3 linked regions of the Diceros bicornis minor genome follow. Each later gene encodes a partner of the first gene's protein in a complex. Links are inferred from orthologs where the notes say so. Each region holds a gene or a part of one and is shown in the gene's direction. Other genes may lie near its edges. The genes, in order: ARL1, GOLGA4 and ARFIP2.

The links.
Region 2: the proteins of ARL1 (region 1) and GOLGA4 are in contact, whole or in part, in a crystal structure (PDB 1UPT), measured with the Homo sapiens proteins. The link is inferred for Diceros bicornis minor from reciprocal best matches to the Homo sapiens genes ARL1 and GOLGA4. Residues at the interface, in NP_001168.1 of Homo sapiens: Ile49, Gly50, Phe51, Gln64, Trp66, Ser73, Ile74, Pro76, Tyr77, Cys80, Tyr81, Ser83, Glu115; in NP_002069.2 of Homo sapiens: Thr2173, Glu2174, Glu2176, Tyr2177, Lys2180, Val2181, Glu2184, Glu2190, Thr2193, Lys2196, Val2197, Thr2200, Val2201.
Region 3: the proteins of ARL1 (region 1) and ARFIP2 are in contact, whole or in part, in a crystal structure (PDB 4DCN), measured with the Homo sapiens proteins. The link is inferred for Diceros bicornis minor from reciprocal best matches to the Homo sapiens genes ARL1 and ARFIP2. Residues at the interface, in NP_001168.1 of Homo sapiens: Glu17, Arg19, Gln38, Ile46, Ile49, Gly50, Phe51, Asn52, Val53, Glu54, Thr55, Gln64, Trp66, Ile74, Tyr77, Cys80, Tyr81; in NP_001363487.1 of Homo sapiens: Phe205, Thr212, Lys216, Thr217, Asp220, Asp278, Ile281, Lys282, Phe285, Leu286, Glu288, Asn289, Lys292.

Annotation. Positions count from the first base shown.
Region 1 is NC_080764.1:21,880,322-21,887,880, forward strand, and holds the start of ARL1 (ADP-ribosylation factor-like protein 1), read left to right. Parts: upstream 1-4,465; 5' UTR 4,466-4,639; coding exon 4,640-4,643; intron 4,644-6,928; coding exon 6,929-7,066; intron 7,067-7,559. UniProt on the Homo sapiens protein: GTP-binding protein that recruits several effectors, such as golgins, arfaptins and Arf-GEFs to the trans-Golgi network, and modulates their functions at the Golgi complex.
Region 2 is NC_080741.1:40,222,111-40,229,888, forward strand, and holds the start of GOLGA4 (golgin subfamily A member 4), read left to right. Parts: upstream 1-4,725; 5' UTR 4,726-4,742; coding exon 4,743-4,814; intron 4,815-7,778. UniProt on the Homo sapiens protein: Involved in vesicular trafficking at the Golgi apparatus level. May play a role in delivery of transport vesicles containing GPI-linked proteins from the trans-Golgi network through its interaction with MACF1. Involved in endosome-to-Golgi trafficking.
Region 3 is NC_080746.1:64,548,357-64,556,439, reverse strand, and holds the start of ARFIP2 (arfaptin-2), read left to right. Parts: upstream 1-5,018; 5' UTR 5,019-5,123; intron 5,124-5,900; 5' UTR 5,901-5,942; coding exon 5,943-6,041; intron 6,042-6,301; coding exon 6,302-6,398; intron 6,399-7,065; coding exon of another isoform or gene 7,066-7,117; coding exon 7,118-7,236; intron 7,237-7,414; coding exon 7,415-7,636; intron 7,637-8,083. Other genes in the region: TIMM10B (mitochondrial import inner membrane translocase subunit Tim10 B), read right to left, coding at 4,151-4,327, 4,495-4,590, 4,791-4,826. UniProt on the Homo sapiens protein: Plays a role in constitutive metalloproteinase (MMP) secretion from the trans Golgi network. May have important functions during vesicle biogenesis at certain cargo subdomains, which could be predominantly utilized by secreted MMPs, such as MMP7 and MMP2.

The DNA of each region.
Region 1 (7,559 bases):
GAGTTTCCACTGGGGTGATGAAAATATTCCGGAATTAGATAGTGGTGATAATTGCAAACCTTGTGAATATACTAAAACCCACTGAATTGTACACTTAAAAACTTTAAATTTTATTGTATGTGAATTGTATCTCAATTAAAAATAAAACCTTTAGTCTAAAGATAAATTCTGCCCTGTTGGCAAAGTACACGTTATTAAAAGAAAACAATTGAAATACAATACATATCTTTATTTGTGAAAATCACACACCTCGTTATGATTTCAAAATGCTCCTTAGTTTAAAATACCATTATAAATACACAGTATGATAAGCACTTCTGAAACTTACAGTTATTATACTTATATTTTTATACTTGTTATATTTCATAGGTTTCTGCTTCATGGAGTAAAATCTGAGCAAAAGAATGTAACTTCCACTATGCAATGGAACACACAGAAATGTTAAGTTTCTAACTTTGGAAACTAAAGCAAATTCTTGAGGCATGGTCATGTGTTTGAAAATCAATTTACCAAATGTTTAAATCATGGCTCAGTCACAGAAGGCATCATAATCTAGTTACTCCAGGCCTGGAAGTCAAATGATCTGGGTCGCTGTCCCAGCTTTGTCACTTAGTGTGTTTCTACTTCATCTGTAATTGAGGTGCCTGGAATTGAGGTTCCTCCCAGTTTTGAAATTCTCCATTTATTTGATCTTATTGTGACTCTTTTTTTCTTTTTTTGTGAGGAGGACTAGCCCTGAGCTAACATCTGATGCCAATCCTCCCCACCCCCTTTTTTTTTTCTTGAGGAAGAGTGGCCCTGAGCTAACATCTGTGCCCATCTTCCTCCACTTTATATGGGACGCCGCCACAGCATGGCCTGACAAGCAGTGTGTCGGTGCGTGCTCGGGATCCGAACCGGCGAACCCCGGGCCGCCGAAGCGGAGTGCACACATAACTGCTTTTGCCACTGGGCTGACCCTCAATCTTATTGTGACTTTATAGTCAAAGGAGGAGTTTTGGAATTGTTTTACTTGCTTGGATTGCATTAAAACATTCACATTTTAAAATTTAGTAAATTATTATTGGACCATAAGATTTGACAAGGATTAAATTGTCCACTCGACTTTTAATAAATTGGACCAAGTGAGCTCATTCTACTGAGACTGTCTAAAGCAATACCACCACCTAGTGACTTCTCTTCAAATATGACAACTTCTTTGAAGATGACAGTTTGGCTTCTCCTATCAAATTAGGACAGGCGGTTTAGATATGACTATTTTAGGAAACAAGTTTAATAATACTGCATAATATATGTTTAAGTTAACTAATATTTATGGCATTAGCTTAAAAACTCATTTCATAATTCAACAAATATTTGTTTAGTCCCTAAGTGCAACAACAAAATAGTGAACAAAATAAACAAAACTCCTTGCCTTTATAGATTTTAACATTCTAGTGAGAAGTAGATAATAAATAATAAGCAAGTAAATTATAATATGTTTAGTAGGTAGTTCTATTTAAAAAAATCAGGATGAGGGGGATGTGGGGTAGATTGCAATTTTATTTTATTTTTTTAATTTATTTTTTGTGAGGAATATCAGCCTTGAGCTAACATCCATGCCAATCCTCCTCTTTTTGCTGAGGAAGATTGGCCCTGAGCTAACATCCATGCCCATCTTCCTCTACTTTGTATGGAACGCCATCACAGCATGGCCTGACAAGCGGTGTGTTGGTGCACGCGTGGGATCTGAACCCAGGCCGCCAGCAGCAGAGCGCGCGCACTTAACCGCTAGGCCATGGGGCCGGCCCTAGACTGCAATTTTAAATGGGATGACATTTGAGCAAAGACTTGAAAGAGGTAAAGTTAATTCTCATGCTTGTCTGAAGAACAAAATTCCATACTTACAATCTAAATATTTAGCTTTAATTCTAGTATGCTGCTATGATTCTGCTTCCTCAGTATTTCTCTTTAGTAAGCAGGAACTATACTACCAGGTCAATATTAATAGGAACGACTACATTTTGAAAAATAGTGTTGCCCTAAAGATAATATACCTTTCCTACAGCGTAATGGCTGTCTTTAGTTAGTATCAGAAAAGATAAAGGAAGTGGTAGTTTTATCTTATTTTTCACCACCTTAACGTGACCTTCATGCACTGAAAATGGAAATTTCCTATGAAAGTAGGAACTGCTCTAATCTTAGGAATTGAGGAAAGCAAGGGGTTAGGTGGAGGTGGGATGTAATCACCAATAAAGATTAGCTAAGTTTCTCTAGGCTATTTATGGCTTTGTTATTTATAAATTTGTCTCAACGCTTTTTGAAGCCATTTTAATCTTCTGTCTTCATATCCTTGGGTTAATATGCACCTCTAAAAGTTAGACATTTCATGATTTGCACACCTTATAGGCATAGCCTAAGGCCTTGAACATAAGTTATCTTATTTGTCCTAAACCTACTTCAGAAAAACTTTAAAGGGTAGTACCTTATCTTGTTATTTTGGTTTTTTTTTTTTTTAGATCAAAGGTTTCTGTGAATAGAGAAAAGATTTTTGTTTTGTTTTTGATGCATCCAGGACATTAGACCAGATCTTTACTGACAAAGCAAAGAATTAAATGAGTGAATTGTGTGTGTGTGTGTGTGTGTGTGTGAGGAAGATCGGCCCTGAGCTAACATCTGCCAATCCTCCTCTTTTTTGCTGAGGAACACTGGCCCTGGGCTAACATCCATGCCCATCTTCCTCCACTTTATATGGGAGGCCGCCACAGCATGGCTTGACAAGTGGTGCGTGGGTGCGCGCCTGGGATCCGAACCAGAGAACGCCGGGCTGCCACAGCGGGGCGCCTGCACGTAACCGCTTGCGCCACCCGGCGGCCGCTAAATGAGTGAATTTTGAAACACAAAGTTTTTGATCAAAGTGCCTAAAGGGTTTTTGTTTGGTCTTTATCACTACTGTTTCCATAGTGACTTGTAATGAAGTGCTTAATACAGATTATGAAAGGCTGAAATGCCATTCAACAGTCAATATTAACAATGCTTTTTAATTTGTATATAGCACTTCAGTTTACACAGCATCCTCACATACATCTAATTTGCTCATTAGGTTCAGAATATACAGTGTGAATATAAAGTTTGTAGTATATCTTTCTTTTCAGTTCCCGTTTTAAAGGAATCTATATTTTCAAGGAACTACGTGCATTGTACTGGAAACATAAATCTGACAGGGACATAAATTTGAAGTAGCAATGGCCAAGATCTTGCAGAGACAGGGACTGGAGGCGGATGAAGAATATCTGAGAAAGATCGCTGGAATCATACGCACGCTGAGGTCCTACAGTGGACAACACAATGCTTACAAAGCAAAGCGTTTAAAAGGCCTAGGTGTACCTGAGTCACTCCCTCTCTCCTTCCCAAACAACAAAACAAAAATAAAAAACAAAACCAAGCCTTTTCTTGCAATGAAAATTTCTATGAATTTATGATTTGGGAGCGGCGAGGGGAGGCGAGAGCCATAGGCACATCTAGTTCAATGCCTAGGCAGCTGGAAAGGTCTGAAAATTGAAGCCAAAAACAAGAGACAGTCCATAAACTTAGAATGGATGAAAATCTCTATTATAGATAAAAACATAACATGCAAAGATGGTATTTGGAAGGAGATCCAAGAACGTGTTAATAGTGGTTATTTCTAGGGACAACTGCGGGATTGGGGGTTAGGGATAGGTTTACTTTTCTGTGTACCTTTAGGAATTTTTAAGACACGCATGCTCAACCTTTACAAAGATTAGAGTCTAGGAGAAGCCCTTCTCCCTATTCTCTAGGTGTTGCTTTCTACCTCCCAACACAGTTCACTGTCAAGACCTGTATTACTCCCAATCGACGCCCCCGAGGGAACAGGTCCCCAGGCCCCATGATCGGGACCAGCCCGCCCACAATACCGAGTCCGGAAAGGTGGTCACGCGCTTAGAGTCAGCTGGAAAAAAGCAGGAGGGGCTCTAACGCTGGCCCTGCAGGCCACCGCGACGCCAAAAGTCGCCAGTTAGCGGCCTCAGGTGCGAGGCTGTCTCTCATCGGTGGCGAGGAATCCTCCTATTACTATTGCGTAGTCCTAGTTCCTCATCGGAGAGCGCAACCCGGGAAAGCAGAGTCGCCCCCTCAGGGCGCCTCCGGCCCTGCAGCTTCGCCGACGCGGCAGGCTGCGCCCGCGTCCAGTCGAACTGCCGCATAGAGGCCAGACTCGCATTCTTGGTTGGCGGATTCGCCACTGTTTGGTGCTAGAATTTAAAATGAAAATTCGAATTTCCCTGTGTCGGAAGTCTTTCTCGTCCAACAAAACAGAAGCAGGAGGGGCGTGGGGCCCTTGAATTTTTTTCTGTCTCCCGGCTTCCGCAGTATCTACGCCCAGCGCGCGGGGCACCTGCGTCGAAAGCGACGACGCGGACGCTCAGGCCGCCGTTCCCGGCGCGCAGTCGCGGCGGCTCCTCGCTCCCGCCCCCGCCGGGAGTCCGACGTGGAAGTTGCTGGCGGACCAGGCTTCCAAGGAAACCGCCTGGGAGCCGGAGCCAAGGCGAGCGGAGGTGGCGGCGCCGGGACGGGAATAGGAGTCGCTGGCGAGGCCGGGGCCTGTCTCTGACGATCGACGAGGGCGGACCGACGTTTCATCATGGGTGAGGGATCTGCGAGGGGCGCCCGGGCGCGCTCGAGGGGCTGCGGCCGAGGGCTGGGGCGGGGGGGTCGAGGGGCGGGCGTGGGAAGCCCAGAGTAGCCAGCTTCTCAGGCGACGGGTCGCTGAGAACTTAGCTCACCTTGGCTCTTCACCTGGGGGGCGGTCAAGAGCCTGCCTCCAGCGTTCGCCCCCGCTTGTAGCCCTTCATCGCGGCGGGTTCGGGGTGGGGGCAGCGGGGTTCCGCGGAGCGCTGCGGCCGGGGAGCCTGGGAGTCCTCTCCCCTGACCGTGAACTACTCCTTCACCCCCTCAGTCACCCCCTGGGCAGAGTTGGTCTTGCGAAGCCTGGCGACATGTCACTTGCAGGTTCGCCGAGGTTTGTTGGGTGAAAAATGAGATCTGACCCCATAGTGGAAGCTTGATTGCCTCTCCCTCCCTGGTGGCTGGGACTGCGTCAGTTTAAAAAAAATCCAGACAGAGGTGCTGCTGCTCGTAATGTTGTTTTATAGCCAACTTGGCATTTGTGTGCTTATCTATAGCTTTTCATGTGGGTAATAGAGTAAGGCGGAGAAGGAAGTGGGGAGAGTATTACTGGGCAGTGAATGAAATTTGAATCTCAGTTTTTGGGGTGCTAATTGAGGGAACTACATTGTCATCACAAGCGTCAGCTAAAGCCTCCCTCCCCGCTAGAGCCCAAATGAAGGTGCAGATTCTTTAACTTGTTTACAACTCTCCAAATGGTGCAAATTCTTTGGCTTATTTAAATCCCTCCGCGGTTTTCTTGGGAGTTGACTTCCTGCTCTGGAACATCACAAGCGCTCTCCTGTCTTTTTCTATAACCCCCTTGAGTTTTGTTGCTCCGCCTCTTTTTTATTTGTAAAAGATAGGAAAGACTTTAAGTCAGCCTTTTCTATTATACTTTCCCCGAGGTTCTCTAGTCCATGTTGTGTTCATTTATCCAGACTCGCAGCTCTTAATTGGGCCATCTCTTTGTTAAATAACCGCGTATTGTGAGTGGCATCACTTCTGTTGTCAACTGTTCCTTATATTGTTAGTGTAACTTTCTTTTTAATCTTTTCTAATGGCTTTTGGTGGGAAAGGGCCGAAAAGCTTTTTTTTTTGTAATTATAAAAGAAAAAATTTATTTTAAAAAAGCTTCTTTCTTTTGTTAACAAGAATAATAAAGAGTGTAAATTTCCGCCTCCCTTACTCTTAGGGGTTATTTTACTTAAACACAAGCGAAATCAATCAATACCTTAACCCGTTACCAGGAGGCCCTCCTGAGATAAAGCATAATTTTTTAATTTTAACTTTAATTTTTTTCTAGCTTTATTGAGATGATTGACGAATAAAAGTTGTATATATTTGAGGTGTGTAATGTGATGTTTTGATATGTGTGTACATTGTGTAATGATTACCACAATCAAGCTAATTAACACACTCATCCCCTCACATAGTTACCTTTTTTGTGTATATTGTGAGAACACTTCAAGATCTCTCTCTCAGCAGATTTCAGGTGTGCAATACATTATTATTAACTGTAGTCACCGTGCTATCCCTTAGGTCTCTAGAACTTATTCATCTTATAATGTTTATACCCTTTGATTAACATCTCTCCCATTTCCCTCACTCCCCCAGCGTCTGGTAACCACCATTTTACCCTCTGTTTGCAAGTGCTTTTATATTACGCAATACCTTGCATATAGGAAGCTTTCTGGAATTATTTCGTGATGCCTTGAATGTAGCTTTATTATTTTTTAAAATGAGTTTTCTCTCAATAGTTTTTGTTATTTTTGGCTTCTGTGTCTCAGTTTCTTGTGCTAGTTATATTGCTAAACAGAGAAATCGCAGTGATTGAAGGTGGTTATGATGGTACTGCTGCTGTGCAGTAATAATAATTGCTTTTCATGTTCGAGGACCTCATTGTCCCACTGTCATTCTGATTTGCTGTTTGGTTTTTAGGGGTAGTGAGGAGATCATGCTGCGGTATACCTATTAATTAGAAAGTGAGCCCCATGAAGGCAGGGGTCATATTTCGCTTATTCTTGAGTGCATCTTCTGTGCCTGCCTGATACAGTATCTAGAACATGGTAACAATCAATAATTAAAAACTTGTTTGATGTTAAATAATATATTTCATTGGGAGCAAAAAATGCACCTATGAATCTAGGAAAATATTGTAATATTATTTAATTTGGTATAGTTTTCAAAGGGCAAGATTAAATGTTTGGTGGACCTAGTTCACAAAGTGATACTGAATACATTTTTGCTTTTACTATTTTTTTAGGTGGCTTTTTCTCAAGTATTTTTTCCAGTCTGTTTGGAACCCGGGAAATGAGGATTTTAATATTGGGATTAGATGGAGCAGGAAAAACTACAATTTTGTACAGATTACAGGTTGGAGAAGTCGTTACTACTATTCCTAGTAAGTGTTGGTATGATAAACTAATTACAGGGGCTTTCTGTTTTTTTTCCATCTAACATCACTTTATTTCGAAATAAATAACTCATAAAATAATTGATAAGGTTTGTAAAGTTCTAGTATGAGTATTGTAAATTTGTTCTCATAAGCTGAGAGGCAGTTTGGTATAATTTAAGGACCCCTGTACAAGGCTGGGTTTTGCTGTTTAGAGTTGTTTTAAAAGTTGGCTTGAGTTAAGCCACTTAATCTCATTGAGAGCTAGTATCCTCATCCATAAAACAAAGATAATAAATATCCACTGGTTTTGAGGGGGAAATAAATGAAGTACATAAAATACTTTGTAAATATCTGTAAAGAATTATATAGATGTTAAGTGATATTGCATGCGAAGTGTTTTTTTTTCTGTATTTGTTAGTATTTTAATTAAGATTCATTTCTCTTAAGTAATTCCATTGATTACTTGTAAAGATCTGAGTTGAAGAGACTGAGGGTTGAA
Region 2 (7,778 bases), on another chromosome or scaffold:
TGATCCATTTTTTATAAAACTAGACAATTAAAACTACAAATATATTGGGGGCCAGCCTGGTGGCATAGCAGTTAAGTTCACGTGCTCTGCTTCAGTGGCCTAGGGTTCGGTTCGCAGGTCTGGATTCTGGGCACGGACCTACACATTGCTTATCAAGCCATGCTTGATATAAAGTAGAGGGAGATGGGCACAGATGTTAGCCCAGGGCAAATCTTCCTCAGCAAAAAAGAGGAGGATTGGCAACAGATGTTAGCTGAGGGCTAATCTTCCTCACACACACACACACAGAAAAACAACCTACAAATATATTTATATACAGATGATTAAATTTACATATCTCTATATTTTCATAACTACAGAAACCAAATGGAAATAATACAAACTAAATTATTAAAAGGGGTTATTTAGGGAGATAAGATTATACTTCTGTTTTTGTTACAGAAAGTAGATATTACTTTTGAAATAAAAAAGGATAAAAATACAGTGTGATACATAAATTAACAGCATGTAAGACTGAGGTTGGATAGAGGAGAGCATGATGAACTCCACTGATGTGTGTGTGTGTGGGGGATTTGGAGGCAGTGTTAGAGAATGCTCGAATGGGGTGATGACATGTGAGCAACATTATCAAGGGTGGATAAGTGGAAAAGGAAAAAAGGTACAAACTCATGAGGGACAATGAGTATACTGCGCTCATTAAGATTTTCACAACTACTATGTATAACTTGTAGACTAAAAAAAGAATAGCAAGGACGTATACAAAAGCAGTGTGCAAGGGAACCACAAGTTAATTTGACATTTCTGGAGCTTTGAAGTGTGAAGGGTGGAAAGGGTATAGTAAGAGGGAAAGCAGGAGCCAGGCTGCCGAGGGCTTCTTGTACTGCCTGGGAATTTAAACAGTGTTCTGCAGGACAAGGAGGCCACTGATGGGATTTCAGCAGGAGGGTAACATCAGCTATGTAGAAGATGGATTAGAAAGAAGCAAATCTGGAAACTGGGAGATCATTTAAGTGGTGAGGTATACTGAAGACTAAAACGAGTGGCAGAGAGAATAGGAAAGAGGATGGATTTGAGAAGTATTTCAGAGTAAAAGACACAAGACTTGGTGATTCTCTGGATATAGGTGAAGAATGAGAGAGGGATGTTTTAACTCACTTTCAAACTTTTAGCTTGGGCAGATGGAAATGACATCAGCCAAGCGAGAAAATACAGATGGTAAAACAAGCCTGTCAAGAGGAGAAGATGCAAGAAGTGAGAGGAAACACAGAAGAGGCCAATCTGATGGTGATGGTAGGGGGTGTAGTAGTGGATGATTTCAGTTTTGGACATGTTGAATTTGTGTGCTTATAGGCCATTAAGAGGAGTTGTCCAGTAGGCAGTTGGATGTATCAAGACTAGGTAATTCTGCAGAAATTTAGTGTCAGGCCCTGTACCACGCACTGGCTGACTTTTATGACAGGTATGGCTCTTGCCCTCCCAAACCTGAAAGCCTAGTGGAGATGCTATAATCAGGAGCTCAGGGGGAGGCCTAAGCTAGAGCTCTCAACATATAGATGGAGAGTGTTACAAGTAAAAAGAGAATGAAACTCTTAGAATTTATAAATATCATTTACTATGAGCTATACTTTATGTACATCATCTCATTTAAGCTTCACAACATTCCCATGAAACGTTAAAATGTTACAGATGAGGAAAATGAAGGGCAGAGAGTTGAGACTCAGAGGTCACAATCTGGCCTTTGAGCTGAATTTTATTCTAAGAGCTGTTTTGCTGCAGTCATTTAAAAATGTCTCGATGGGTTTGCACTATCTAGTTTGTTACTTTCCCTCATTGTCCATTGTCTTATATCATATGTGTTTCACTCATAACCTTTCTACTCCTTTCAGGGATTTGACTTTATATGTGGTTTATCTAAGTGTCAAAGGTCACAGTGCCAAAAAAATGGCTGACTTATATTTGAACCAAAATCTGCGTGACATCAAAGACCATGCTCTTAACGGCTATGCTCTACTCCTGTGGGTGGCAGGTATCAGGATTCTTGATGAGGGTTAAGAAAGCGTGTTGTGTGGTGATGCAAAAGGGCTGATAAGGCATTTGTAGAAAGCAGGAAATCAGAGTTAAAAGTTTCAGCTGTAATTGGTTCTTTTGGCTATGTCTTTTCTGACATACTATTTTCTTAGCTAAGGCTTGGAAAGGAACTTAATAATATGTAATAGTTTTCTTTTTTTTTTGTGAAGAAGATCAGCCCTGAGCTAACATCCATGCTCTTTCATCTCTAATCATCCATCCTCCTCTTTTTGCTGAGGAAGACCGGCTCTGAGCTAACATCTATCACCAATCCTCCTCCTTTTTTTTTTTCCCCCAAAGCCCCAGTAGATAGTCGTATGTCATAGTTGCACATCCTTCTAGTTGCTGTATGTGGGACGCGGCCTCAGCATGGCTGGAGAAGCAGTGCGTCAGTGCGCACCCGGGATCCGAACGCGGGCCGCCGGTAGCGGAGCGCATGCACTTAACCGCTAAGCCACGGGGCCGGCCCGATATACAATAGTTTTGTGAAGCACAGTCCCTAGTGATTATGTTATTCTGAAAATTTCCTGAAATATGGAGATGGGGATGGTATCTGCCATTGGAAGGAGTGAAAGAATGATAATTAGGTTTGGTCTATAATTATGAAGATTGCTTCTTTTTGTTAAAAAAGATAGGTACCAGTTCCACTGGGGAAATAAATTCATGAGGCCTCTGGTATTATGATTGGATGCAACCCATTTCATGCAAGGTGTGCTAGTCCTTGGGCAGCTGGTTAGATGAGTCCAAGTTACTAACATGGAAAACAAGGGCAGGCAGGGTGCTCTGGCTGGGTTGGTGCAGGACTCTGAGAAGTAGGCCAAGGCCAGAGCCTTCAGAAGGTAATTTGCATCAAGGAGTGGCAGAAGAATTGAGCATATTTTATAGGTTTAATTAGAACAGACAATGAGAGAATGTTAATTTGCAGAGGCCTAAAGCCAAATGGGCTGTGAGGAGGCTTAATGTTTCAACAAAATTGTGGTTAAATGTGATGGTTTCAACCCTGCCCCTCCTCTTCTCTTTTTTGTGTCCTAGCAAGGACATAATTAGCCCTCTTCTGGTCTTTTTCTTTCTCTAAGTAATATTTTGGATCTCTTTTTATCATTTGTTTATTACTTATTATGGCCTGCTTTGATAGGGCCCACCTACATGTATACACATATACACAAATATATACATATATACACACACACACATATACATATGTATAACATTGGCAACCTTTGATTTATAATTGTGAACGTTGGGGTGAGGATGCATATCAGGCATCGGCAGTCTGGGAGCAGCCGAAGGTCTATTGCCTTTACAATCTTGAGAGAGAAAGACCCCTGGAAAAAACAAACTCTTGGTTATTACATAGGTGTTCACTATGAGACTAGAGAGGACTTAGCCCAGTTGTCAATGCAGTGTTCAGACCAGGCCCTGCTCTGGCTCTAACACATTTAGGGATCAGGCTATGGAATCTTAGAGAGCAACTTGCTCCTATAATTGCTAGTAAATAAAATTTGCTAAAATGTGAAGATCAGCGTATACTCTCTCAGGTTCTGATATCTGAGGCGATGTGGAGCAATTTGGTACAGCATGCAGAAGTAGGTTGCTGAGCTGGATCTGAGGGTTCACAGACCGCCAAAGTTCGGGGTGTTTGATGAGTCAGGCACATCTCTTAGGACGACTGCAGGTGTTAGGGGTAAATCTGAACTCTTCAGGAACCTGTGTCTTTCATCAGGCTGTGAATTCTTTTAACATCCCCAAAGACCTGGCACTCACAATGATAAAAATTTTTGAATGAATATGTGAAAATATACGATTTCGGTGAAATAAAAAATAAAGGCAGATGTCCAAACGATTGAGATCTTACAACATCGGCCTGAAACATCTGGACCCTGGCGCCTCCCGTCAGGTACTTATTGACCCCTGGAAGAGTCCAGGAGAGGAAAGAGGGCCCCTCTGGGGAGCAGCAGGAGTAGTAGGCACTGAAGATACAGAATCCTCACCACAAATACTGAACAGAAGGACACTATCCTTCAGAGCCCCAGGCAGGTTCCCTGGAACACCCTTCTCCCACCCAGGACGCTCACATACTTGGTTCTTCGCTATGGGCCTGTCAGCCCCGCCGTCCTCAACAGCACCACCCTCCCCGCCTGACTTCGCAGCGCTGAAGCCCAAGTGTGCGTCAGTGAAGCGCTCAAACCACTCCTCGCCTGGATTCTGGGGGTTTCTCTGCACGCAACGACTTTAGGCAGCACAGGATTCTGCGTCTTCCTTCACGTCTCGCGTTCGGGAGCGATACCCCGAGCGCGCATGTGCTGGCCGACTTCGTGTGCTTGTCCCCTCCGGCGCTCCGTAGAGCTCCCTCGGCGAGCTCCACGTAGGCCGCGCAGGCGCTTTTGGCACATCGTTCACCTGCTGCCGTTGTCGTTGTCGCCGCCGCCGCTGCCGCCGGGGCTGGATGGGGGGCCGAGGCCAACCAGTGGCACCCAGAAGAAAGAGACGCGGCGGCGGCGACGCCGACACCCGCAGGACGAGTGTCCCGATCCTCCCGCGAGCCCAAGGAGGAGGAGGCGAGGCCTGGCCCCCGCGGTCCCTGGCGTAGAGAAGCCGCCGTCGCCTCCGTGGCGGGGTCTCCCTGGGCACTCGCCCCTCAGGTCTCATTCACACTCAGGACCCCGCGGTGCGCCATGTTCAAGAAACTGAAGCAGAAGATCAGCGAGGAGCAGCAGCAGTTCCAGCAGGCGCTGGCCTCCACTCAGGTACTATGGCCGCCGCTCTCCCCTAATTCCGGACACTCCTTGACGCCGGCTCGGGGGCGAAGAGCAGGGGAGGTTCTTCCGTGACCCTTGACCTCTAACATTGTAATTCGCCCAAACCCAGGACTGGGAATGAGCTCAGGGCAGCCTAGGTCCTCCGTGACTCCTGACTGGGGTCCCCCATCCCGAAACTCCGTTCGGGAGAGTGGGTGGGGGCGGCCGGATCCTTGGTAGCATCTGACCTCTGTTCGAGTTTTCCACTGATGCTCCACCCCGGCCTGAGAACCAGTGAGAGGGACTCCGATCTTGGCGTGATTTTTGACCCATATCAAAGGTTCCCCCGCCCATCCGAAACCCCAACTCAAGACTGAGTGTGGGATGGGAAAACCTGGGTCCCTTGTCATATCTGACCTCTTCACTGAAGTCCTCCCTCTCATCCCTGACCCGAAATTGAGTACGGAGGAGACAGGATCCCGCAGGACTCCTGTCCCGTGGCGAAAGTCTAAGTCCAAACCCTCGTCCAGGGGTGAGGGCCAGGGGTCGAGCCATTCCAGGCCAGGCTGCTTGCAGGAGCGTTGGAACCTGAAAGAGGCGACAGTGTGGCCGGCGTCCAGCGCCTGAGGCTGTCACGAGTTAGTCCCTTCGCATAACTTGGTTGATCTGGGCAGGCGGAGGGGCTGATACTCCGAGACCGGGCCCGGCTGCTGCCTGTCCACAGCCTGACTTCTGCTTCTTCAAGAGTCTTGTAACGTTTGTTTTTCACGAATAGAACTGCTTGAGGAAATGACAGTTTCCAGGAAAAAGGGAGCGTGTGAGTAGTGTTAATTTAAAGAAACAGTCTCCTAAGCGCCAATGAATGTGTGTTTTGGGTCTGGCAGCGCGTGGTCTCTTCAGCGAAGAGAATTTCTTCCCAGCCTTTCTGAGTCTCAACAGATTGAGCAAATCTCTTAACTTTAGAGTTTCTACAAGAAAGACTGAGTTTTAACTGGTTTGGAGGCATTTCTAAAACATTTTTTAACATAATATTTGTCTTATGCAACTTTTAAACAGCTGTTAACCAACTGATTAACAACTATTAAACAACTACTGCATTGAGTTTTTTCTGGAACTGTATATTGAAGTTCTGTTAAGCTCGTGTAGAGTAAAACAGTGCTTGAAATACATCAGAGCATTACGCTGAAGGCTTGTTCATTCTCCCATGTAAAATGTAAATAACGATGAAAATTTAAATAGTAAATATTTTATTTTTTGTACCATTTACTTCAGGCTTTTTAAACTTTACAAAATACGATTATTTAAGAAACATAGAAAAAGCTTAAAACTGAGGTACGGATGAGGCATGTGGGGAATGAGCATGTTAGTGAGTGTAAGGCTTGCTTACATTTGGGAATGTGTAAAATATCGTTGATCCAGGATTCCACCTCTAGAAATTTATTCTAGGAAAATTTAGGATGTATTAAAGATTTAGCCACATGGATTTTCATTTCAGTGTTGTTTTAATAGGTAAAAACTGGCTAAAAATGTTCAACAATAGAAAATTGATTAAATAAGTTACATCAAGTAGTCAGTTATTAGGCAGCCTTAAAAAATGCCAACACTTATTGGGTTTTTACTATGTGCCAGGCATTTTGCTTAATATTTTACATGGATTATTTTATTTAATTCGGACATAAACCCATGAGGTAGTTTCTCATTTATGGAGTGAAGCTCAAAGAAGTTGAGTGACTTGCCTAATGTCACACAGCTAGTGTTAGAGCCTACAGAAAAGTTTTATTAATACGCAAAGATATTTGTGTTAAAAGACAGATTGAAAAGCAGCATGTGAAGTGTGATCCCAGTTTTGTGGGAAAAAATACGTATGTAAGTATATATACAGACAGTGAAAATAGTTTAAGAAGGAGATGCTCTAAGGTACTGATGAGATCTTATGAGTATTCTTTTTCATATTTGTGATGTTTAAATTTTTCTTCATGAAAATGAATTTGTACGTTAGCAAAGAGAGATTGTTTTTAGAATAATAATAAAAAAGCTATAGTTACAAGCTAACATATGAGAGCTTTCAGTTTCTATAGGTTGATGCTTCTGGTCAGACAGTGCAACTGGGTCAAATAACTTTGTGTACAAAAGATTTAAAACAATCTTCTTTGATAATATTTATATTTATCCGGAATGCAAAAGTAAATTGTTAGTGATGAACTACTGATAGAAACTTGATTCTCTTGTGGTCTCAGATCCTCAGCTATTCAGAACCCTTCAGGATGAGTTCTGGATTATTGTTTTCAGAGTTAAGGATTTCTTTCAAACATGAATTAAAAAACAAAATAGAAAAACCTTTTTTTTTTTTTTTTGGTGAGGAAGATCGGCCCTCAGCTAATGTCTGCTACTCCTCCTCTTTTTGCCGAGGAAGACTGGCCCTGGGCTAACATCCATGTCCATCTTCCTCTACTTTATATGGGATGCGCCACAGCATGGCTTGCCAAGCAGTGCGTCGGTGCGCACCTGGGGTCCGAACCTGCGAACCCCGGCCTGCTGCAGCAGAGCCTGCGCATTTAACCACTTGCGCCACCAGGCCTGCCCCAGAAAAACCTTTTTTGATGACAATTCTTTTGCAACAGATTACACGTATCTTTGTTTTCTTAAGCAAAAGATCTTGAATTTGTATATTATCATTTCTTCATTTTTGTATAAATTGTCTCGAAGGCACCATGCCCTCAAGAATTTAATGGGGTGTAAAAGCCAGTTCCCTTTTACCCACTCAAGCGAATTTGTTTGTTTGTTTGTTCTTGGACTACTTATAATTATTTTTTTATTTTTATTTTTAATTTTTTTGCTGAGGAAGATTTGCCTTGAGCTAACATCTGTTGGCAGTCCTCTTTTTCGCTTGAGGGAGATTAGCCCTGGGTTAACATTGGTGCCAGTCTTCCTCTCCTTTATATGTGGGACACTGCCACAGCACAGCTGGTGAGT
Region 3 (8,083 bases), on another chromosome or scaffold:
AAGCAAACAGAATCAAGGGATATTTAGAAATGTAAACAGATAGGATTTGCCAATTGAGTGAGGGGATGAGTGAGGTTTCTAGCTTCTGCAACTGGATGAGTGGTAAGCATAGGAGGAAAGTTTATGAGGAAACATGTTGCGTATGGGATGTTTTTGAGATGCCTAAGTGGAGATGTCAATCAAGTAGCTCAGAGCAGAGATCTGGTCATCAGTAACTAAAGCCCAGAGTGCGGATGAAACAATCCTAGAAAAATTAAACCGAAAAAGAACAGGACCTAGAGAAACTTATATTTAAAGGCCAGACACGGATGAGCCTGCAAGAGGCTAAGAAGCTGCAGCCAAAGAAGTAGTGGTACAGTCATGTGGGTGGAATCCCCGAGACCAGTGAAGACTGTCGATGATGAGGAACTAGTCGATAGTAACAGACGCTACCGAGAAGTGAAGTAAGCTGAGGACTTGGAAATAACCATTGGACTCGGAAACATGAACGTCACTTGGTGAACCAGGGTGACCTCCCTAAGAACTATTTCAATAGAATAAAAGTTGTAGAAGTCAAAACAGACTGGGTGAAGGAATAGGAATGGAGAGGGCCAAAGTACCAACTGTTTTGAATTTAGCTATAAAGTGGAAAAACAGGATGGTAGCTGGAGGAGAAATGAGGTATAGACTGTTTTTTTTGTTGTAACAAGGGAGTCTTTAGCATGTTAAACACTGGTGAGAAGTAAAGTGGGAAAAAGTCAGAGATTCCCAAAGGACAGACTAGGATTCAGAGCACAGGAATAGGCATTAACCTTGAGAGGGATGCTTGCCTTGTTCAGACAGGAGAGAATGAAGCAGATGCCAGGTGAGTGACCAAGTTTGGTTGCGAGATGTTGCAGGAGTTCTCAACTGATAGCTTCTACTTTTGCCTATGAAGTAAGAAATATGGTTACCTGCAGAAAGTGAAGAGAATGGTGGGGGGCAATAAGAAGCTTAAGAATATTGGTTTGAAATAATCATTGCAGGGAGAAAAGATGAAAAGAAAAACCTGGTGGGATTACAGGGGCTGAGATTCCATTTGAAGTTGGTAACCACGGATTCATGTTGATATAAATGTGCTCTACAGTGATTTCCTTGGGCAGCTTTTAGCTGCCCAAATGCAGGCACAAATGTTTCATTTCATCTAAGAGTCCAACAAAGACATGAAGCAAGGAAATTTAGCTTATTCCAAGAGAATCACAAGAATTTCAGCTGGATAGTAATCTAAAGGCAGGAAGGGGTTAATGGAAAGAGAGAAGGTAGAAGTGATGGCGTGAATGCTCCAGTGAAATCAAAGAATGGTAGTAGAGGAATAGTTCGATAAACAAAGTAGAAGAAATATTGTCAATGAGTAAGATGCAAGTAACAGTGTTTTGAAGATGGAGCAGTTTGGGCTGATGACGATGGCTAGGATATAACTAAGGGAGTGGCTGGCTAAGACAGACTGGAAATCATTGGAGATTAGGTCAAGGAATTAAGAGACCAAAATACTGAATGGACTGTCCATGTAAACATTAAAGCACCAAGGGGTGGATATGAAGACCAAGGGATAGCTATTTAGAGGAAATAGGAGAGTGGTAGTTACTAAGAACAAGTAATGAGAGATAGTGGTATAGTTGAATAGTCTCAAAGGAATCAGTCTTTGCAAATGAGTGGGCAGTTAAGTTCTAAAGCCGCAATGGTGGGAACACCAACGCTGTTTCCAATGTTTGTGATAAAGGGATAAAGCTTTGTCAACATTTATTCTTGTGTTGTACTTGAGACATCACCATTGCTCTCATTATGCCAATGACTACGGTTTATGGCAAGACCTAAGGGCGAGATTTCCACAACTATGGAAGATGGATGGTAGGAATAAGGTACTTCTAAGTATCAAACATATTTATAAATAGGAGCAAGAACCAGGACAGAAAAGATTGAAAATTTAAGGGACTAATTGATGGATCAGATTGAGGGCCACTTGTTTTTCCATGCCTAAGGACTGGATGGGTGCAGATGAGCAAGCAAATATAAACTGTGGAATTTCAAAGAACATAGGCTTTAGAGTCAGACAGATCTATGTTCCTAGCCCTGCTCCAGCAATTACTAATTATGTGACCTGGAAACACAGATAATTCACAAGGGAAGTTTACTGCAAGGATACACACAAATGTTAATGTAGAAGAATTCTCCCACCAGCAGCACAATATCCCAGGGCCTCATTCCCATCTCTGGGAATTGGTAAATTCAAAAGATGGTTTACTTGCATTTATACTTTCCAAGGACAGAATTTTATTGGGTAGACATGAAGCCAGTCAATAGGAAAGTTCCTGCTCAGCAACTTTTACGTTCCTAATAAATTTTTCTGTTCAAGAGACAGCAGCTAAGGAGGCAAAAAGCTGATTGCAACCACTCTTCTTAATAGGTAACTGTATAAGATGGGCTTCTGGTACATTCTGGATTCTTGCTTCCTCATCTGTCAAGTGGGGATAATACCTCTTACTTATAGTTTTGTTGTAAAGATTAACTAAGATAAAGCATAACATATACCAACATCAGAACCTATACAAACTGGGTGCTCAATAGGTATTACTTTGAGAGGCAGCCTAGTGTAGTAAAAAGCACATGGATTTTAAAGTCAGATCTGCATTTTAATACAGAGTCTGCTACTGGAGAATTTCACCTCCCTGATCCGTAGAGAAGAGAGAACATCTGCTTTGTGGGTGGTCATAAGGAGTTTTTGATTATTCTGGGAACTAATGTCTAAGAGCTTCCATTTCCTCTGTAAAAAATGAAACGTGTTCACCTGATGGGGGATAGTTGAGGGTGAGGTGGAGGATTAAGGAGAGCAGTGAAGGTGTAAAATCACTGCCATGTTGATTAGGAGAGGGAATAGACCAGGAACTCATACAGGGTTGCTTGTTGGTAGTGAGGGCTTGGTTGGGGTTGCAGACCTTGAACATTTAGTGGCATTCATTACACAGCTGTGTTTTCCTCTAACGGCTTGAATGAGGAATAGAAAAGATAAAACAGCTGAAATGACACAAAAAGGACACAAGGGTGGCAAGAAAATGTGTTGATGGAGTGCCATTCAGACTGCTAAGTACAGAAGTAAACTCCACAAGAGGGCCAATAATGAGAAAAGAATGTAGAAGATGGAATTAGAAATCACAGAATGGGTACAGTGGGAACAAGGTGGGGTAGAAGTTAGGGGAGCTAGAATTAGATTACAGACAAGCAGTGAGACATTAAGGTAATATTAAAGAGGTCCCAAAGATTTCGCTTTATCCTTGTTTTTTCCCATAACCACCACCATCTATTTCTCCCTTAGATTTCTCTCCTTCAAGTCTGACTGTATTACAGAATACAGTCCCCCAAGTTTTCCCTTTTCTGACTGCCCCTGAAGACAAGGCATATAGACCTTCTTTGTTTAAAGGTTTTACTGCTCATCCAGGGAAGACACAAAATAGTAACAAAGTAACAACTTGAAGAAATGGTGGAAGTTCCGGAAAACCCCAAAATTCTTACAGGTTTCATCTCTGTCCTGGGGCTACTGACTTCCCAGAAGGTAGTGCCTAAAAGCCCTGTGGTTTCTTGATCTGTTGTCCTTAGATACTGCCTCCTTTCCCTAAATCTGGCAAAATTCCTTCTTGTAAGACACAGTCCATGAAAAAACAGTTATGAAGGAACGCATATCTGGCTCAAAAGTGGGCCGTTTAAGTCAGAGAGGTTTAAGTTAAGGACAACTAGAGAGAGCTCCCATTTTCTCTGTCTTCTGGGCAGAAACCAACTTCCTGTTGCTATTATTAACCTTAAAACTATACCCACAGACCTTGCTTTAACCAGCTGCCTGGGAATGCTGAGGTTTTCCTTCCAGACATAGAAGGCAATTTCCCACCTGCCAGGGCTGAAGCCAGCAGATATGCACTAACTGACAAAACAAAGCATGGTCCCAATAAAGTGGGCAAAGCTTCCCTGCCCAGAATATAAATGAAACAGAGTAAAAGCGGGTTTATTGGCTCCAGGAAAAGGAGCAATGGCACCCAGCTCTCAAGCAACTCTCTCTCTATACAGGCCGCACCCAGCCCAAGGTCTACTGGCTCCTTCAATTTGAGGGTCCATCAAGCGCCTCCCTTCCTGGGGTTGGGGATGGCTAGCTGCCTGATGGCGAGGTTCCGGGCTGTTCAGCAGCAACACCTGGCACAGCTGAGGCAGCCTCGTAGTCTGCGATGCGGCGCTGTACCAGAGCAGGCATGAGTTGCACGTAAGCGGCCATGAGGCGGTGGTTGGAATGGATCAGCTTCCCAGCACAGCTGTGCAGACATGCCTCCTGGAAGGAAGACAGGGTGGAAGTAGAGGCCAAAGGTGTCCTGTCAGGTCCGTCTCCTTCCTTCCCATCCCCAGCCTAGGAGCAAGGGGTCGTGGAAAGGCCAGGGCCAGAGATGGGGGAAGTGAGGGAAGGAGGGAGCAGCCTACCCTCTCTACTCAGGTCCCCACCTCCTCAGCATCCAGAGCTCGGTGGTGCAGGCTGGGCACGCAGCGCTGGAAGCAGAGTTCCGTCATGCGATTGTAGACCAACAGGAAGTCCCGTAACTGGGAGAAAAGGAGACCAAGAACTCAGAGACAAGGGGGCCCGCATCTCAATTCAAGCCGCGCCGCCCACGGTTTCCCAGCACCGAGCACCACAGCCCGACGTTTCCAGCCCTCGGACCCCTGGCTCTTTGGGGTTCCCGCCACGCGGACGTGGATGCCAGCTGAAAGTATACCCCCTCAGCGACTGAGCTCCCACTCACGTTTCTCAGCTGTTGCTGCTGCTGCTGCTGCTCCATCACGCCGCCGGCGCGCGGCTACGTCACTTCCGTTACAGCTTCTCGGTAACGCCCCGGAAGTAAGCTCTCGTAGCTCCCCAAGGAATGAGGAGTTGGCTCAAGGATCGCCCTGCCCCCGGCTGCCAACGTCACCTCCGCCCTTATAATCTGCGACGTGGCCGGCTTCTTCTGCCCGGGAGAGGACGTCACTTCCGCCGAGTCCCTGACCTGCTGCTAGGATCGCGACGGGAACTGGAACCCGAGGTCCCCGCGCCGCCCGGGCCTGGCGCCCTGAGGGGAAGAGCGGCCCGGCCCGAGGTGAGAGGGACGTACTTGGGCAAGGGGAAGTTGAAAGCACAAGCCTGTCCTGAGGGCAAGGTGCCTCTGAGCCCTGAGGAAGGATGAGGGCACACCTGATGCCCAGGTGTATGGGGGGGGCGGGCATTCACACACCTGGAGCGACATAACTGACTTTGAAAGGGATCACCTATATCCTGGGAAAAAGAGGCTTTTCTCAGAGGCCAAGAACAGATACCAACTGATTCAATTAAGGCCTGGGTGTAGGGCAGGAGGTGCATGGCATGGAGGAGGGGGAGACCACCTGAAGGAAAGGGGAACAAACACTAAAAGAGTGTGAAAGGCCAAGCAATGGAGAACATACCTGAATGGGGGTTAGGCACCTGAGCTCTGGAAAGGGGTTCTTCTCCTCATGGGGGGAAACACCTGCATGGGGATAAGCTCCAAGAAAGCACAGACTTTGTCTGTCTCGTTCGCTACTGTATTTCCGTTGCCTCAAATAGTGCATGACACATAGTATGCACTCATTAAATGTCTGTTGGATGATTGAATGCATGAATGATCAATAGAGTCCTGGTGGGGTTGGGAGTCATGAGAAGACACCTGAGGCCTGAGTATGAATGTGTAAAAATATGCGCCTTGGAGGGGAGAAATACATGCCTGAAGAAAGGAGTAGTGGCCAAACCCCAGAACACTCAAGCCCTGGAACAACCTCTCAAACCTATGGAATGGCAGGGGATACCTTCCTCTTCTGTAGTACTGGCCAGTTTCCAGAACTGTCTCTGTTGGGCTTTGCAGGGCGCTGGGGTGGAGACTTTGACTCCAGTCCCTTCCCTAGCCATGACGGACGGGATCCTAGGGAAGGCAGCCACCATGGAGATCCCCATCCATGGCAACGGCGAAGCTGGGCAGCTTCCTGAGGATGATGGGCTGGAGCAGGTGCTTCTGTTTGCTTCTTCTCCGTAATATTTCAATTTAGGAATCCTAATTTATAAACCCTGGGCTCTGACCCCCTATTCCAGTAGGCTTCCCCTAACTTATCTAACTCCCTTCAATCTTTTTATAAATCTTCATTCTGATTCTGTGCAGACTTCCCTTGTGCACTCTCTCTATGATGCTTCAATCCAAGCTTATTCTCATCCCCAAAATGCTTCAGCTGCCCTTATGTTCCTGAAGCCCCCCTCTTCTCTGGCCTATAGGACCTCCAGCAAGTGATGGTGTCAGGACCCAATCTCAATGAAACCAGCATTGTGTCTGGTGGCTATGGGGGCTCTGGTGATGGACTCATCCCCACAGGTATGAATGATCAGAACAGGCCAAGAAGCTTGAGTGGAGAGGGGGAGAGGAATGGTTCTGGGGAGTGTAGTATATATCTAAGAAAGCTTGAATTATGTCCAGAGATCTTGGGAACCTCTGCTAGTATGAACCCTATGGACTCTCCTCAGCCCAAGGCCAGTTACCAGTGTTGTTCAGCTACTCCCACTTGCCATTTAGCCCCTGAGATGCGCCCATTTGTCCTTTCTCTGCTGCCACCACTTGAGTCAAGTTAAGAACTCTGTTTCACAGGAGTTCCCCGTGCTCTGGAGCATGAGGCTGATTTGGAACTCTGTGAGCTTCTCAGAGTTTTACGTTAGACTCTAAAATTTAGAGGAACAAACAGCGCTGAATCTCTCACTGACTAGGATTCCACATGAGCGTGTCAACCAGGTTTCCTGTTATCAAGACCCACCATCCTTGACCTGCCACCCCATACTCAGCATATTTTCTTTTGTTTCCTCTGCCCCTGTACACCAGCAACTCCCTCTCCCCTCCCCATCCAATCTCCACCACCTCAGAAGGAGGCCAGATATATATTGGGATTTGGGTCTCAGGGCCCGAGATATGAGTTCCTCCTAGTGAGTAGGTGAATCTAATTGTGTCTAGCTTCCACTCCTTCAAAGAAGCTGTTTTCATGTGCTGGGAGGGAAGTGTGGGTGGAGCCACAGAGGTGTCTGGTTGTACCCTTGGTCCTTTAGGGTCTGGCCGCCATCCATCTCACAGTGCCACTCCTGCTGGCCCTGGAGATGAGGTGGCTCGGGGCATCGCTGGAGAGAAGTTTGACATTGTCAAGAAATGGGGCATCAACACATATAAGGTGGGATTCAAGCCCCTCTCCCTTCCCCCAAAACTCCCCCTGAGTACCTTTTCCCCACCTTCCAGATCCTAATATCCCATCTGTGGCTAAGACGAGGAGCCTGGGGATGCTGGGGTAGATACCTGTTGGGGAGGCAGGGTGCTAGGGTCTCTGACCTATTCCCCAACTTCCCATTCAGTGCACAAAGCAGCTGTTATCAGAGCGATTTGGCCGAGGCTCCCGGACTGTGGACCTGGAGCTAGAGCTGCAGATTGAGTTGCTGCGTGAGACAAAGCGCAAGTATGAGAGTGTCCTGCAGCTGGGCCGGGCACTGACAGCCCACCTCTACAGCCTGCTGCAGACCCAGCATGCACTAGGTGATGCCTTTGCTGACCTCAGCCAGAAGTCCCCAGAGCTTCAGGTGCCTCAGCCAGGCCAAAGAGGGTGGGGGGGACTGGGCCCAGGCCCTCCTAGGCAGTCTCCCCTCAGCCTCCCTCCCTCACTCCCTCCCTGCAGCCCAGAGGGAGAACCCCTCCAGGGTGGGCCCAGCCCTACCCCCAACAGCACTCACCTGTGGAGTCAGCCTAAGGGTTTGTACAGAGGTCCAGAAGTCGGAGTGGGTGGGGGAGGCAGCACATTAGGTGCCCCACAAGTAACCCTTCTCTGCATAGGTGAGAATGCCTTCGGTGCTCAGCCTAATTGGAGCCCCTCCCTTGCCTGCTGCACTAGCTTTCCCTGTTCTAGTCCTGTGAACTTATCTGAGAACCCCAACCCGACATTCCTACCCTAGGTATCCCCAGGGTGGCCCCACTAACTTTCTGGCTAAGAGCCTTGCTGGAGGCAGTCCTTGACTGTTCCAGTTTCCATG